Linked DNA regions of Oryctolagus cuniculus. The protein of the gene in region 1 interacts with the protein of each later gene in a biochemical or structural test. Links are inferred from orthologs where the notes say so. Each region holds a gene or a part of one and is shown in the gene's direction. Other genes may lie near its edges.

Region 1 (8,147 bases):
TCTTGCCTTCTGTCTTGTAATGAGCTTTGGTTTACTAGGGAGGTGACGTGTTCTTTCCTCTCTTTATTTTGCCAGTTTTTAGTGCACACATGATTTCTACTCATCTATCACTATTAAACCCTACTCAGGACAGAATCCAAGGAACATAAGCAAATGAAGCTGACATGATGGATAAATTATAGTGCAGGTTCATCTCACGATCTCTAATGGTAAAACTTCGGACACTGTGTGACAGGATGAGTAAAGTAAGACTACAAGATTATCTCATGATCTTTCGTATACTGGGATGCTTTGTGGGAAGCACCTTGCTGAAGGTAGAGTAGTGACTAAATAAATTTTGGCTTCCTTTTCTCATCATCTCCTCTTCCATTGCCTAGATCTTTTTAATGTTCCTTTAAAATGATGCCACACAAATAGTCACCCAATTTCTTGTGTTTAAGGTCAGTCCTACTTAGTAGGAAATTCTATAGGGGAAATATGTGTAGTCATTAAGTTTGGGTTTAGATAAGATACTATTTAGGTTCAAATTCCAGCCTCTTCTGTTATTATTAATTATGAAACTTGCTTGGGAAAATTGCTTTTGTATCTCATGTTCTTCTCATGTAATACATGGATATTGAAAAATTACCTGTACTACAGTGGTGTTAAAAGGATTAGAAAAGGTCAACCATGGGTGCATTTATCATCATGCCTGGCAATATGGCGCCCAATAGGTATAAGCTATGGGTATTATAACATTGTTACAACATAATATGGGTTGGTGTAGAGTAGCTTAGAGAGAGAAATCTTACTGTTTCTTACTGTCCACTTCAACACTTATCGCAGACCACTGACCTCTTTCCTAACTGGACATCTCAAAGCCATGTGTTGGATTTCAGTCATGACCTTCAGCCGTATTTAAACACTTCTTTAGTGCATGAGTTCGTATTCCTGTATTAAGCACCTATCTAGATGCAAATACTGAAATCCTGGGTAAGTTCATTTGGACATGTCTGCTGGCAATGTGAAAGTTCTGAATGACAGTGAAGACTGACTTCTGCCAAAATAAATTTGTGTTGCTTTTATGGTAACGATCTATGGTCTTCCTATACATGTGTGTGTACACACTTATGACAGAATATTGTAGTTCAGTGTTATTTATTAAAATATGTAATTCTGGTAGCTGCTTGATTTATAGATTTCTGCTTTTATGTCTCATTGTTAAACAGGTTTTAAAGTTTTGATTTCACAAAACCAGTGTAAGGAGAAAGACTGGGTTTGGTGGCTGGCAAAATGTAAACAAAATTACATGGGTGATTTGACTAGGGGCAATACTATATGCTGAAAGGAGAGATTGGAAATAGACCTGAGTTTGATCTTGGCTTTATCATTAGTGGCATTTATTTAACTCCTCTAGTCTGTTTCCTAGTTGAAGATTGAGGATAACAACACTTACTCACATGGTGAGCGTGAGGTTTGCATGAAATGATGTGCAGCAAATAGTAAGAACTCAGGTGACTATTTTATTTATTCTTTCCAGAGGAGGGAGATTGGTTGAAAAGTATTTGGGGTCTCCTTGAGCCATACTCATTGGTCAGCTTCTGTAATCTTGAAGTGGATTCTTCATCCCTTCATTGTCATTGCTCATTGATAACAACAAGGAAATAATTGCCAATTGTTTTCAACATTTGTGTCTTACATTTGATGGGTCATGCTAGTAGGGAGAAAACAGACTTAGGATGGTGAAGTGGATGAAGTAAGTTCACTCACACTCCTGAGAAAAGTCAATAGGGAAAACAGAGCCTCAAGTTTTGTGATACTGGAGAGAGGAAAACACCAGCACAGTCTATGAAGCAAGGGTCATGAATTAGAAATGCTGAAATTCTTTCCCGATTCATCCTGTCATCATTTTGTTCCATCTCTTTGCTCTTCTATTCTCTACTATTAAAATTCAGTGCAATAAAATGTGAATGTTTCTTAAAACCCACTTTAAGATAGAAGGGAAAAAAGATGACATTAAAATGCAAAGGAAAGTGATCAAAACCTGCGGAACACATTCATGAATTGAAATGTATGTTCCTTTCTATCATTATGCTAGCACTTTTTTTTTTTTTTTTTGACAATAGAGTTCAGAAATTAAAGGCTTGGCTCTTTAAAATCCACACGACAGGCACCCAAACCTGGGAAGGAAGGCGCCCACGCTTAGGAAAGGGTAGGTGCCCTCAGATTCAGTCAGATCAAAGTTAATGCGCCACCTTCGCTTCAAAGGCTGCCTGGATTCCTTCCGGCGCAGTAGTCAAGACGTTTTGCTGAACGAGACCAGGAAATCCATAGGAGGGCGGGTGAGTTTACATACTGTCCAGTCGTCACTGTCGCTTAGGCACACAAAAGCCTCCTTAGAAACGCAAGCTAGACTAGTAAAAACTTCGTAAAGACAACTAACAACTCTCCGGCGGCGACGGGCAAGGCACTAGCTGCTCTTACCTCTTTGCAAGATGTTGACATTTTCGTCCCCCCAAGTGCGTCTCCAAAGGTGTCTTAGCCGCAGTTGGAGCGCACCTAAGCCTGAAACTAACAACGCTGGGTTCTTCCCCAGCCCCGCGAAGGAGGCGCGAGGGCGAACCCACCAGGCACAAACGCAGGACCTGCCGGCTCTCCAAGGCTGCATTTTGATGCTGGAGAGAGGTATTTCCCTTTTCAAAATGCACCTTGCAAACCTTACACGAACCCGGCTAGGATCCGGGGAAAGAGGAAGAAGAGAAAGAGGAGGAGGAGGAGGATGGCACAGGGAAGCTGGCGGCGGCAGGTCCCGGGGCCGGAGGGACCTGGTGAGGAGGAAGGTCCAGGAGTCTCGCCGCGGTGCTGCCGCTCCTGCTCCCGCTGGTGGCTCTGTCTTCAGGCGTCGCCGCCCGCACCTGCAGAGCGGCCGCGCGGGCTGGGCTGCGGCTGGACGGTAGGGACGCGGAGCTGCACGGAGCGCGCGCGAGGGAGGAGGCCGGGAGTCCGCGGCGGGCGAGGGAGGCGTGGGGCGGCGCAGGCGGGAAGGAGGCGAGAAGGAAGGAGCGGCCGGGGAGCGGCCGGGGCGCGCCGGGGCGGAGAAGGCGGCTGGAGCGAATGTGGGGCCGGCCAGGCAGCGCCGGGCTTTTAACCTGGGCAGCGGGGGCGGGGGAAGGAGCAGCAGGAAAGGGGAGGTGTGTGCCATGGGGGTGGGTGGGGGGAGTTGGCGGCAAATGACATCACGGCAGGTCAGAGAAAAAGGGGTGAGCGGCGGGCGCGGAGAGGAGCAGGGCGTCCGGCAGTAGGAGCGCGAGCCCAGCCTGCCCCGGCAGGCAGCCCGGCGCTCCGAGAGACCATGCAGAAGTCGCCTCTGGAGAAGGCCGGCGTCCTCTCCAAACTTTTTTTCAGGTGAGAGGGTGTTCAGCTGAGCTGCGCAAGCACACGTGCCTACGAAAGAGGAGGGAGAGGATATGGGCAGGGTTCGGGGAGAGAGGACTAGTGTTTTTGTTCTCGGTTCTTAAGAGATGCGCTGTCATGGTTTTGAAAGAAAACGTGGATTTGGAGCAATAAGATGGAAAGCGTTAAGAAGAGATGGAAGAATAAACTGAAGCCCATTGTTGGGGTAGAGCCAAGTCTGCTTGCAACGGAAAGGCAGACTCTTAGACCCAAGTGGGCTACTGTGAAACTGTTTTCTTCGATTTCTCCAAGAAACTTATCGGTGACAAAGCTATTCATAAAGGATTCTTGTTTGCGCCGCCGTTTCCCCCATACATGTTTAATAGAAACTTGTTTTCTTGGCACTCATACCACGTGTCACTCCTGCATGTAGTAGGTGCTCAGAAAACATTTGTTGACTGAATTAAAAAATGGGGGCTGGGGTTGGAAATTATGTGATTAAACAAAGTTTTCGTTGTTAGAATCCCAAGTAAGTCTAACAAGCCTTTGCAGAATTCCATTGTTCTTCCTGTTATGAAGGAAATCAAATCCATTGAAATAGGTATATTCAAAATGCTAATAGTACCTATTATTAATTTAAGAACATCAGAATTTTGCAAAGTGTGAAACCCGGGGAATAGATGCTGAAGTTATAACCAACTGACATGGAAGAGATTGTGCTCCTATCCTTTTTTGCAAATGAACAGCTAGAAAAGCTTGCAAACTCCTTCTAATGAGATTTTTAAAAATAGAGTTTAAATTCAGAGTCTTAGGTGAAGTGTAATTAGATGTAGCGTTTCGTGTTTCAAGTGTTCTTTAGGTACCGCATCTACTTTGTTCCTGTTGCTATACCTGTGTGAGTGAACCAATAGGGGCAGCTCTCTCCCAGGATGCTGCCAGGCTCATAATTCTCCAGTGAATCAGCATGCTAAAGTATTGGAAAAGTCAACTCTGCTACAAATATGCCCATAAATGTGTGTATGAGAAAGTGATTCACAGTCCTCTGAGCTCTGATTCTCTACACGTGCTGCAAACCTGAAACCCAGGTGCAAAGGAGAGGCCATTGGCCCCTGAAGGAGATCTCCTCCTTGTGGATGGGGCAGAAGGACTTTACTCTTTGGAACTGCCTTTCTTATTGATGTTTACAGCACCTTTTATTACTTTGTAAAATTGGCCTGTTTATCTGTTTCCTATTACTTCTAAAATCACATTGCTAATTGGCAATAATTGGAGACTTTTTATCCACAGCACTTTGAGGAACCCAATTGCCAGTCAGTCTAAAAATGCAGTTTTCAGAATGAATATCCCATGGTTAATTCTAAGGACTAAGAGACTTTAAATAGCATATTGTTCATCTTTTCAATTGTTCATCAAACTTTTCAATTTTTATAGATTGGCAAACTTTAGTATAGTTTTAAAAAAGCTGTCAGGTTGATTTGGAAAGAAAATGTATTATAATGGCTATGAAATTTGTTGCGAGCATACTCATTTCTTTTCTCCAAACTATTTTATAATAAGTTGCTCTAAGAATAGGTGTGTTTTTAAAAATTAAGTTCCTACTATTAGAGGAACTGACAATCACCCAGAACTAGTGATTATGAACTTTCTTCAGGACTCTACTGCTAAAGGGCAAAAACCTCACTCTCTGCAATGGGTCAGGCAGTGCCGCTCACTGGTGAGGAGCAGCAGACTTTGGATTCAGATCTTTTGGATTCAAATCCCAGATCTACTGCTTAGTAGCTGTGTGACTTGAGGCAAATCCTGTCACATCTCTGTGTTCATGTGACTTGACCATTCAAACTTAGAGATTGATAGGACTTATGACCCAAGGGTTCTGTGATTGAGAAAATGCATGTTTATGTTAGCCCAGTAAGTGTTAGCTGCTGTTATCATTATAAATTACTACATTTGAACATTCTTTACAGTACCATGTGTCTTGTTTATATAAGGAGTGCAGTTCCTCTTTGCTGAGTATAATTCTGCAGTATAAGTCTGCATACACAATGAATCAGCCTGTATGAGAATTTGGGAAAATTTCATCTAACATGGTCTCACTAAGCATGCAATAAAAAAGTTTTATCCTTATATAATATGTTGTTAAATGTACTGGAATTTAATGTTCTGAATATGATCCCTTCTGTTTCAGAGTCATAAAAGAGTAAAACAATTATGGTCAGGGTTATGGAATATATTAAATAGCTCTTTAATTGTTTAGGTTATATCATTGGAAATCAAATGTTTGAGGAAAAATCCAAAGTACTTTCTTAATTTTACATGAATTTTAAATCAAGTACAAAATTTGGAAGACATCTGAACTATCATAATGCAAATATATGTATATATATATATGCACGCACACATATACATAAAATAACAATATAATGTTACCACAAAAAATTCAGTTTATGAATATGGTAGAAAATAAGTACATTAAGTTGTAGTTTTTAAGAAAAATCTTTACAAAATATGAAGCTGGTTTTAAACTAGATGTGATATTTGCATAGAATTTATGATTTGTATACCAGTTGGTTTGATTTACAAATGTTTATCAGTAAAGATTATGCTTTTTTGATTTGGAACAAATTTTTCCAGTTTCCATTTTGTTATGATTTTTAAAGTAGTGATTTGATTTGTTCTCTATTCTCTCATACCCTGAATTTCCCTCTCTGTCTAGTTGGCTTGTGTATGAAACTATGTATCAGGTGATATAACTTGGTTTTGGTCATAGTATCCAAAAGTTAAGATACCAAAAGTTAAGGTCTATATTGGAGGAGCTATGTATAACCCCACAGAAACCAAGTGTAAATGCTATAGATCTCTTATAAGACTGGGTATCGGACTCTCGCAAAAATTCTACAGATAAGTCTCAAGTAAGACCAGAGAAAAAATCTTAACATCTAGGGTGGAAATTCAGCCAAGGATTGTGAACTGTAAGTTTCAGGTTAATAGTAAGACACTTTAAGACACTTTTGTAATTGTTAAACATAGTAATGAGAGACTTTTAAACAAGTACTCTAGAATTTATACATTAAAATAGATGTGGACACTGAAAATAGCTACCAATGAAAACCATACCCTTGATTGTTTTGCCTTTGAACAAAGTATTTTTTGATCTCTTAATGTGGAATTATCTTTAAAATTTTATATAAATTTCTTCTCGTTAAATGTATAATAATTTCAATTCGTCATAGTCATTTTTAAAAGTTTTAGTATTATTTTTAAATGTCATTCATGTTACCATAGCTTTAATGTTTTAAAAATTTATTTATTTATTTAAAAAGCAGAGATACACACACACGCAGAGGGAGAGAGAGGGAGAGGGTAGGTGAGAGAGATAGACAGAAGAAACAGACATAGATCTCTCATGTACTGGCTCACTACCTAAATGCTGGCAACAGCCAAGGCTGGGAATTCAATCCAGCTCTCCAATCTGGTAGCAGCGACCCAACTACTTGAACCATCACTTGCTGCCTGCCAGGATGTGCATTAACAGGAAGCTGGAATTGGGAGTAGAGCCAGGACTTGAACTCAGGGACTTTGTTATGGAATGTGGGTGTCTCAGGTATTGTCTTAACTGCTAGGCCAGGCATCTTCTCCTGTTTTATTTTTATTTATTTTGAGAGGCAGAGGTGATAGAGAGAGAGAGAAAGAGAGAGAGACAGAGTGAGCTAGAGAGAGAGCTCTCTCATCTGCTTGTTCCCTCCTTAAATGACTACAATGGCTGGGGCTGGACTCAGCTAATCTGGGAGCCAGGAGCTCAGTCCAGATCTTCCATGAGGATGGCAGAGGCCCAATTTCTTGAACCATTGCTGTTGCCTCCCAGAATGTACATTAGGAGGAAGCTGGAGTCAAGAGCTGGAGTGGGTATTGAACCCAGATACTTCAACGTGGGATGTGAGTGTGTTAACCTACATCCTGATTGCTAGGCCAAATATCTCCCGCCATGGTCATTGTTATATACTTGCAGCTTGTGTTAAGTCATGTTGTCCAGACTGATCACTTAAGTCTGCTCCTAAATTATTTTTCCCTATATCTTAACATCAAAATTTTCATCGTAATTTGCCATATTAACAGACAAGTTTTAGTTACTGTGATCCAATAAATTGAATTGCAAACTTTAAAGGCAATTATTCAGAGAAAAGGAAATGCTTTGGGAATTGCAGCATAATTATAATAATTATGTAATGAAAGGTCCATAAAGAGGATAATTTTGAAGAAGACCAAACTTACTTGGCTATACATTATTATGGTGTATTATAAAAAGTCCATTGTAATGATTTTATATTTCTTTTATTGATGTGTTCATAGTGCATGAAGACAGCTGAAATTTTGACTGAGCCATAAATATTTTTTTTTTCAATTTGTTGGAGGTTTTTTGAAAGGTTGTCAATGGAAACCAGTTGGCTACTGAAACAAGGGTCTAGTCTGATCCTGATCAAAATTATCAGTTATCTCAGGGTTGGGTCTCAGGCGAGGTTTAGCTGTCCAAATCAAAAGAAATAGATGCATAAAGCAAAGGCCAATATGAGATGAATAATTCATATTGTGAGATGCCACTACCAAGGGTGCCTGAATACCATGAATCCATTTAGTCAGTCTATGGACAAATGCTCTCTCGTGAAGATGGTCCAGGGTTTCATACCCTGTCTTGGCTTTATTTGCTGTAGGGACTGAGGAGCCCATCTCTGGGATAGTGGCCCCTGTGTCCTAAACACTGGTGCCCAAACACTGACAAA
Region 2 (8,117 bases), on another chromosome or scaffold:
GGAGGCTGCAGGGTCCCCCGTTCTGCTCCCTCTGCAGGTGGCCCCGCGAGTGTTCGGCCGCGTGGTGGGGAAGAGCCGGGAGGCAGTAGCCCAGGCCATGGTGCTGGAGATGTTTCGGGAGGAGGACTACCACAACGATGACGTTCTGGACCAGATGGGCGCCAGCATCCTGGGCGTGGAGGGCCCCCGGCGCCACCCGGACGAGCCCCCCGAGGATGAAGTCTTTGAGCTCTTCCCCATGTTCATGGGGGGGCTGCTCTCTGCGCACAACCGGCTCGTGCTGGCTCAGCTCGGCTGTCCCATCAAGAACATGGATGCCCTGGAGAACACTCAGGCCATCAAGAAGAAGCTGGACAAGCTGGGCCGGCAGCCGCTGCCCCCCTCGGAGCTCCTTGACCACCTGTTCTTCCACTACGAGTTCCAGAACCAGCGCTTCTCCGCGGAGGTGCTCAGCTCCCTGCGCCAGCTCCACCTGGCCGGGGTGCGCATGACACCCCTCAAGTGCACGGTGGTGGCGGCTGTGCTGGGCAGCGGGAGGCATGCCCTGGACGAGGTGAACTTGGCCTCCTGCCAGCTGGACCCTGCCGGGCTGCGCACACTCAGGCCCGTCTTGCTGCGTGCCCGGAAGCTGGGGTGAGGACCCGTTCCGTGCATGGGCATGGAGAGGGGAGAGGGTTGGAGGTGAAGGGGTGGCAAGGGAGGGTGCTGGGGGAACCAAAGGCACTGAGAAAGAACCAGCAGGTGTGTGTTGGCCCCTCTGCTGTTGCTAGAGCAAAATACCTTAGCCTGGGTACTTTCTAAAGGAAAAAGGCTCACTGAGCTCCCAGTGTTAGAGGCAGGGAGTCTGGGAACAGGTGGGCCCCTTGGTTTGGCCTCTGGTGAGGGCCCCTGTGGCCACATCACCGCATGACAGAGGAGCAGAAGAGGGGACAGCTGTGTGTGGAGGAGGCCACACGCACGGGGTGGTCCTGCTTTATGATAGCCCACTCTCGGAGAACGGCATCAATCCCCTCTGAGGGGACCTCAGCCCCGTGAAGCAGGTCCCACCTCTCAAAGGTCTGGCGTGGGTAGAGGTGGGGGGAGCGGCAGCGGGAGGTGGGACAGGTGTGGACTGCAAGGCAGGCTGGTGAGGAGAGGGCGTGGTAGATGGGCAGGCTCCTTGCTGAACTGTGTCCTCGGCCTCTCACCTCCCCCTGCCACCTGCCACTCCAGCCTGCAACTCAACAGCCTGGGCCCCGACGCCTGCAGGGACCTCCGAGACCTGCTGCTGGACGAACAGTGCCAAATCAGCACGCTGCGGTGAGTGCCGGCGGGAGGCTTTGGCCACCGTGATGGCCAGCTAAGGACAAGGGTGAGCTCCCTGCCTCACCATGCACCTGTCACAGGCCCACTGTATCGTACAGGGGCTGGGACTCAGCTCTGCCTTGCTGCCAACTCCTAGTCCGTTATAAGCAGCAGTGCAGGGGATGCCACCAGTAACAGGTGCTGAGAAGTCTCTCACATGGCTAAAGCCAGCCTCGGGCGGGCAGGGGAGAGGGTGAGTCCCACCTAGGCCGCTTGCCTGGTAACAGGGCCACTGCCCCCTCCCAGGATTTTCCCCGTAGCTTCCCCCGGCTGACCCAGATGCCGACTCTCGGGAGATGCTCCCCAGGTGTTGGCTGATGTCCTAGGAACCCAAACACCTGGGTTCCAGTTTCTGGTTGAAGTAAGGGGAGGCAGATGAGGAGGGAGAAAGGAAGAAGGGAGAGAAGGAAGGGGAGCCGGAGGGAGAGAGGACAGGGGCTGGGGAGGGGGCAAAGGAGCCCAAGCACTTGGGCCATCTTCTGCTGCTTTCTCAGGAACATTAGCAGGGAGCTGGATCAGAAGTGGAGCAGCTGGGATTCGAACCAGTGCCCATATGGTGCTGCAGGCCAGGGCTTTAACCCACTGTGGCACAGCACTGGCCCCAACCCAGTGGGTGGGTTTTGTTCCTGGCTCTGGCTCCTGGGAGGCAGCAGATAATGAGTTTCTGGCTCCCTACTTTGGCCTGACTCAGTCCTAACTGTTGTGCGGATTTGGGGACTGAATCAGCAGATAGGATACCTCTCTCTCTCTCTCTCTCTCTCTCTCTGCCTTTTTTAAAAAAACAACAAAAACAAACAAACAAACAAAAAAACAAAGCAGAAGGGAAATAGTAATGATGAGGAAGGGGAGAGGAAGAAGAGGAGGAAGGGAGTGGTCAGTTTCTTCCACATTCTCCCTCCTCTGCACCCCCTGTCTCTCCACCTCCTTCTCCTGGGCCTGCATTTCTATGTCCCAGCTCCTCTGCCCCATGCCGTGGCTCCTCCGGCCAAGTCCTGGTGCTCAACCCAGGCCGTCCGCCACGGGTCCTCCTAACATTGGGTTGTTTGTGGCCATAGGCTGTCCAACAACCCGCTGACAGCTGCAGGTGTCGCCCTGCTCATGGAGGGGCTGGCGGGAAACACTTCGCTGACACACCTGTCCCTGCTGCACACCGGCCTTGGAGATGAGGGCCTGGAGCTGCTGGCCGCCCAGCTGGATAGAAACCAGCAGCTGCAGGAGCTGAACGTGGCCTACAATGGCGCTGGCGACACCGCGGCCCTGGCCCTGGCCAAGGCTGCCCGGGAGCACCCGTCCCTGGAGCTGCTACAGTGAGTCCTGTCCCTGGTCCCATCGTCCCCACATGCTGAATCCTCCTTCCCTTTCTCCACTGGGCTTTTTCTGTCCAGGGAGCGGCCCTGGGCCTGGTGCCTGTCCTCTCCTCCGGCTCCTGATTGTCGCTTGTTAGCCGACCCACCTGCTTTGGGACTGGTCCTGCCCCTGCCCTGATTCCCTGCTACTGTTTCCCCATCCCTGGTCCCTCTGAATTCCCACGCTATTCCCTGCCTCCCATGGTGGTGAGCACCCACCCGTCTGGCTCACTGCACACCATGGCCTGCTGCATTCCGCAGGCGGGATGGGGGTTGTGGTGCCCATTGCCCTGAGGCCCTCCGTCTCGGAGCCCCGCTGAACAGCACCCACTCCTCTCTCTCCCGCTAGCCTCTACTTCAATGAGCTGAGCTCCGAGGGCCGCCAGGTCCTCCGGGACCTGGGGGCTGCTGCTGGAGGCGGCGCCCGGGTGGTGGCTTCTCTGACAGAGGGGACGGCAGTGTCTGAGTACTGGTCCGTGATCCTCAGCGAAGTCCAGCGGAACCTCAACAGCTGGGATCGGGCCCGGGTCCGGCGCCACCTCGAGCTGCTGCTGCGGGATCTAGAAGACAGCCGCGGGGCCACCCTCAATCCTTGGCGCAAGGCCCAGCTGCTGCGGGTGCAGGGCGAGGTCAGAGCCCTTGTGGAGCAGCTGGGAGCCCCCGGAAGCTGAGCACCAGTGCCAGCAGGCACCCCAGCTTGTGACCACTGGCCCCGAACCCCTTCCCTCTGTGGCCTCCTGGCTTGGACCACCCCTTCTAGAAGGAGCCCTTCAAGGCTGGAGGCAAAGGAATGGGCAGAGCTAGGCCAGCTGCCCTCCTGGGAGCTGCCCAGTCAGTGCCCCCAAGTCTTGATGGCTTGGCTTGGAGCTGCACATGCCTCCTCTCCCTTTAGGGTGGCTTGATTGCCCCGTGGCACTGCCACCAAAGCTTGTCTCTCTCCCTCCTCTCAGGGAGCCTCTGATTGGGCCATACTTCTTACATTGGCCATGCCCGGGGTGTTGGGAGGGCCTGGGCCTGCCTCTTGCCCCTCTGTGGACACTGTTGGTGCTCACACACTGGTGCTCCCCCTCCGCCCTCATGGTACTGATGTTGCCCAGGGCAGGTGTAGCCAGCTCGCTGCTAGTAAAAAGCCGTGTGTCTTCCACTTCCCGTGCCTTCTCTTCCTTGGCTGGGGCTTCTGAGAAAGGGCACTGTTCTGGGTCATTCTGGTTAAACTACTGGGGCTACTTTGTGTTGCAAGTGGTTCCTGGGCACTGGGACCAGAGGCAGAGGGGACTGGAGGGCCCCATGAACAAGATATTAGGATCGGGATTGGCTACACTATTGTGCCTTTTTTTTCTTTTCTTTTTTTTTTTTTTTTTTTTTTTTTTAAGATTATTTACTTCTTTGAGAGGCAGAGTTACTGACAGAGAAATACAGAGCTGTTCCATTTGGTGGATCAATCCCAAATGACCGCAACAGCCAGGGCTGGCCAGGCTGAAGCCAGGAGCTTCTTCTGGGTCTCCCGCTTGAGTGTAGAGGCCCAAGTACTTAGACCACCTTCTGCTGCTTTCCAAGGTGCATTAGCAGGGAGTTGGATCAGAAGTGGAACAGCCGGGACTTGAACCACCATCCACATGAGTTGGCAGTGTTGCAGGCTCCGGCCCATCACTCTTTTCATACTTACCCTCTGCTGAATGCCAGTGACCAGCAACCTGCCTGTCTTTCCCAGAGAGGCTCCCGGACCGCTGCAGGGCTCCGAAGACAGCTAGGGCCCAGAAACAGCAGCAGGAAGGGCACGCACACTTCCCCAGGGGATAAGACTCTTCCTCCCCGTTAACCATTACCCCACTGCTTCCCAGGCAGCGTCTTCAAGGAGGCGGGACCTGGGAGGGGGTGAGTGGGAGGGTCAGCTGGTTGAAATGGACCTTGTCCCTGCTCTGAGCACTGGGCGACTGGTCCAACCATGAAGGCAGCTGCAGGTACGCGGCCGTGAGGAATCCTCCGGAGGGGGACTTGGGGGCAGTCTGGGGGCAGAGACGGAGGCTGAGGTTTTGGGACCCGGGCACCCTTGATGTTGGGACTTGAAGCCCTGGGGCAAAGAGAAGTTAGGAGAAAAGAAAGGCGCTGACACAGCTGTCTTCCTGGCCCACACCCTGTACTGATATGCTCAGATTTATGTTCCCAGGATTTGGGGGGGCGGTGGGTGGGGAGGCGGAGCCACAATGCCCTTGTGGGTATGACATCAGGGAGAAGGAAAACCCTTCCGTATTGAAATGGAGGGGTGAGTCCTGAGTTTGGGGCTTCCCCTACTTCCTTTCAGTTCCTGACCACAGAAGGGACGTCTGGGGGGTGGGGTGGGAATACGCCTCTCCTCACCCACTTCCTCGCCCCGCAGATCTTCAGGACACAGCAGCCCTGTAAGTGCTACCAGGGCGGGGGCAAGGTGGGGAAGGCAGCGAAGGCAGGACGCTGTTGTGTTGCCGTTAGCACCTGAGTACGGCCTGGAACCTGCGTGCAGCGCCAGCTCCTCCTACCTCCTCCCCCTGCCTCCTTGCAGGAAGTTTAAGTTTAATCCAAAGCTGGGCATTGATAATCCTGTCCTCTCCCTGGCTGAAGACCGAGACCCCTCTGGTAATCCCCTCCCCCTGGCAACCGCCCCCCTTTCCCGGAGCCATCACAGCTCCTCACAGCCTCTCATCTCCTTGGTAACCACTCACTGTCACGGTGATAGCCGTGGTTGGCAGTAACTGGGTGGAGGCCGGAGTGGGCCAGGGTTTCCCCTGCACGTCCCCTAACCGGGTGGGAGCCCACCTCGTGCCCCATCAGGAGGCGGGGCTGCCAGGCACGCGGTGCACCTATACTTGGGCCACGCCTCCTCCTCTCCCCCTTTCCTCCTGCCCCCCCCCATTCCCTCCCCTTCCAGATCCCTGGAGCCTGGAACGGCCTCGCTTCTGCCTGCTGAGCAGAGAGGAGGGCGGGAGTTTTGGCTTCCACCTGCAGCAGGAGGCGGGCAGGGCTGGGCATGTGGTGTGCAGGGTGGACCCAGGCAGCTCTGCCCAGCGCCAGGGTCTCCAGGAAGGGGACCGGATTCTGGCGGTGAACAATGACGTCGTGGAACATGAAGACTATGCAAAGGTGAGGCTGGGCTGGCACCTCCTGGGCCCCACAGCCACAGCCTGGGGTTTAGGAGCATCAGGGTCAGAGGGGTTGTGTGGAGGCCTCTAGAGAGCTGGTTCCCATGGTGAACACCCAGGTTCCCGGGGGCAGCCCACACTTCCTCCCATGCCCTCCACTAGGTGGTGCGCTGCATCCGGGCCAGCGGCCCTCGGGTGCTGCTGACGGTCGTGGCGCGACACGTGCATGATGTGGCCCGAGCTCAGCACGGGGACGACGCCCACCTCTGTCCTGCCCTGGGCCCCCAGGTCCGGCCACGGCTGTGCCACGTAGTGAAAGATGAGGGTGGCTTTGGCTTCAGTGTCACCCATGGTGAGCTTAGTGGCTGGGCTGGGCGGGGCGGTTGTGGTGGAGGTGGGGGTGGCAGGCTGCAACTTGCTAGTTTTCCCGCTCTGGTCCCAGGCCATCGGGGCCCTTTCTGGCTGGTGCTGTGTGCTGGAGGAGCGGCTGAGCGTGCAGGGGTGCCCCCTGGGGCCCGGCTGCTGGAAGTGGACGGGATCAGTGTGGAGAAGTTCACTCACAGCCAACTCAGCAGGAAGGTATGGCTGCCACTGCCCCTTGCCTTAAGCAGACTCCTCCCCCATGCATGGAATCCCCTGATGGGACCTCCTACCTGGTCACCATCCTTCCCTCTCCCTTGTGCCTGGGGAGGTATGCTGGGAGGAGGTGCCCACCTCTCCACTCCCTACCCAGGAAGTAGATACTGATGCCCTGCTGGGTCCCTACAGCTTTGGCAGAGTGGAGAGCAAGTGACCCTGCTGGTGGCAGGGCCAGAGGTGGAGGAGCAGTGTCGCCAGCTGGGAATGCCCCTGGCTGCGCCCCTGGCAGAGGGCTGGGCACTGCCCACCAGGCCCCGATGTCTGCAGCTGGAGAAAGGGCCTCAGGGCTTTGGGTTCCTGCTCCGGGAGGAGAGGGGCCTTGATGGTCGCCTTGGTGAGTGGAAGTCCTGGGGGTGGGGAGGGCAGGTGAACCTGGGGCGGCCCCACAAGTGTGTATTCCCCGCCCCCCGTGTGCATGCCTGTGGTGGCTTGGGGTAGAACTGAGTGTGAGTGGGGGGAGCAGTGAGGATGTCTCTGCCCTAGGGCAGTTCCTGTGGGAGGTGGACCCAGGACTGCCTGCCGAGAAGGCCGGGATGCAGGCTGGGGACCGGCTGGTGGCTGTGGCTGGGGAGAGCGTGGAGGGGCTGGGCCACGAGGAGACAGTGTCCAGGATCCGGGCACAGGGCGCTTGTGTCTCTCTCGTCGTCGTCGACCCTGAGGCTGACCGCTTCTTCAGAATGGTGCGTGCTGAGGGCCAGGGCTAGGGAGGGGGAAGCCAGGAGCGAGGCGCAGGTGCCACAGGTGCGCTCGCTCTGGCCCTCCAGGTGCGCCTCTCCCCACTCCTCTTCTTGGAGCACACAGAGGCCATCACCGCCACCCAGGACACCCACGTGGCTGCTCTGGTTGAGTCCGAGGATGCGTGCCTTGAAGATGCCGCCGAGCCTCCACTCCCTCCTGGCTCCTGCCGGTGCCTCCTGTACCCTGGGCCTGGCGGTGGCTATGGCTTCCGACTCAGTTTTGTGGCCAGTGGGCCTTTTCTCTTTATCTCCCAGGTGACTGATGCCCCCTGGAGCTTGGGTCCTTTGCAGCATTTTTTAAAAAAGATTTATTTATTTATCTGAAAGGCAGAGGTACAGAGAAGGAGAAGCAGAGAGAGAGAGAGAGAGAGAATCTTCCACCTGCTGATTTACTCTCCAAAGGCCACAATGGCCAGGGCTGGGTCAGTCTGAAGCCAGGAGCCAGAAACTTCTTCCAGGTCTCTCACATGGGTGCAGGGCCCCAAGGACTTGGGCCATCTTCCGCTGCTTTCCCAGGTGTATTAGCAGGGAGCTGAATTGGAAGTGGAGCAACCAGGACTCAAACCAGTGCCCATGTGTGATGCCATTGCTGTAGACGGCATAGCACAGCCCCCTTCCCAGCATTTCCTCCTGATCAGTGCCCATCTCCCTCCCTCCTAGAGCCATAGAGCACTGGCACCCGGCAGACTCCCCCATGGCCTTTCCTTGTTCTGTGCCGTCAGGTGACTCCAGGAAGCTCCGCTGCCCGCGCAGGGCTGCAAAGGGGAGACATGGTTCTGGAGGTGAACGGGGTCTCCGTGGGTGGAGATGGCACCCCGCAAAGGCTTCAGCAGCTGGCGGAGGCGGAGCCACCCCTCTGCCTGAAGCTGGCGGCCAGGTCTCAGTGGGGCTCGGAGGCCTGGACTCCCCCCGGGTCTGGAGAGGTGAGCAAGAAG

What was found.
Region 2: the proteins of CFTR (region 1) and NHERF4 form a complex in vitro, tested with the Homo sapiens proteins (2 studies listed by BioGRID and IntAct, with this or other methods). The link is inferred for Oryctolagus cuniculus from reciprocal best matches to the Homo sapiens genes CFTR and NHERF4.

Annotation. Positions count from the first base shown.
Region 1 is NC_091434.1:153,027,621-153,035,767, forward strand, and holds the start of CFTR (cystic fibrosis transmembrane conductance regulator), read left to right. Parts: upstream 1-2,671; 5' UTR 2,672-2,681; coding exon 2,682-2,932; intron 2,933-3,231; exon of another isoform or gene 3,232-3,331; coding exon of another isoform or gene 3,332-3,384; intron 3,385-8,147. UniProt on the Homo sapiens protein: Epithelial ion channel that plays an important role in the regulation of epithelial ion and water transport and fluid homeostasis. Mediates the transport of chloride ions across the cell membrane.
Region 2 is NC_091432.1:111,121,487-111,129,603, reverse strand, and holds the start of NHERF4 (Na(+)/H(+) exchange regulatory cofactor NHE-RF4), read left to right. Parts: upstream 1-4,056; 5' UTR 4,057-4,635; coding exon 4,636-4,651; intron 4,652-5,067; coding exon 5,068-5,089; intron 5,090-5,229; coding exon 5,230-5,303; intron 5,304-5,595; coding exon 5,596-5,807; intron 5,808-5,968; coding exon 5,969-6,158; intron 6,159-6,248; coding exon 6,249-6,385; intron 6,386-6,574; coding exon 6,575-6,779; intron 6,780-6,928; coding exon 6,929-7,125; intron 7,126-7,209; coding exon 7,210-7,437; intron 7,438-7,904; coding exon 7,905-8,105; intron 8,106-8,117. Other genes in the region: NLRX1 (NLR family member X1), read left to right, coding at 38-633, 1,213-1,299, 2,400-2,651, 3,040-3,361.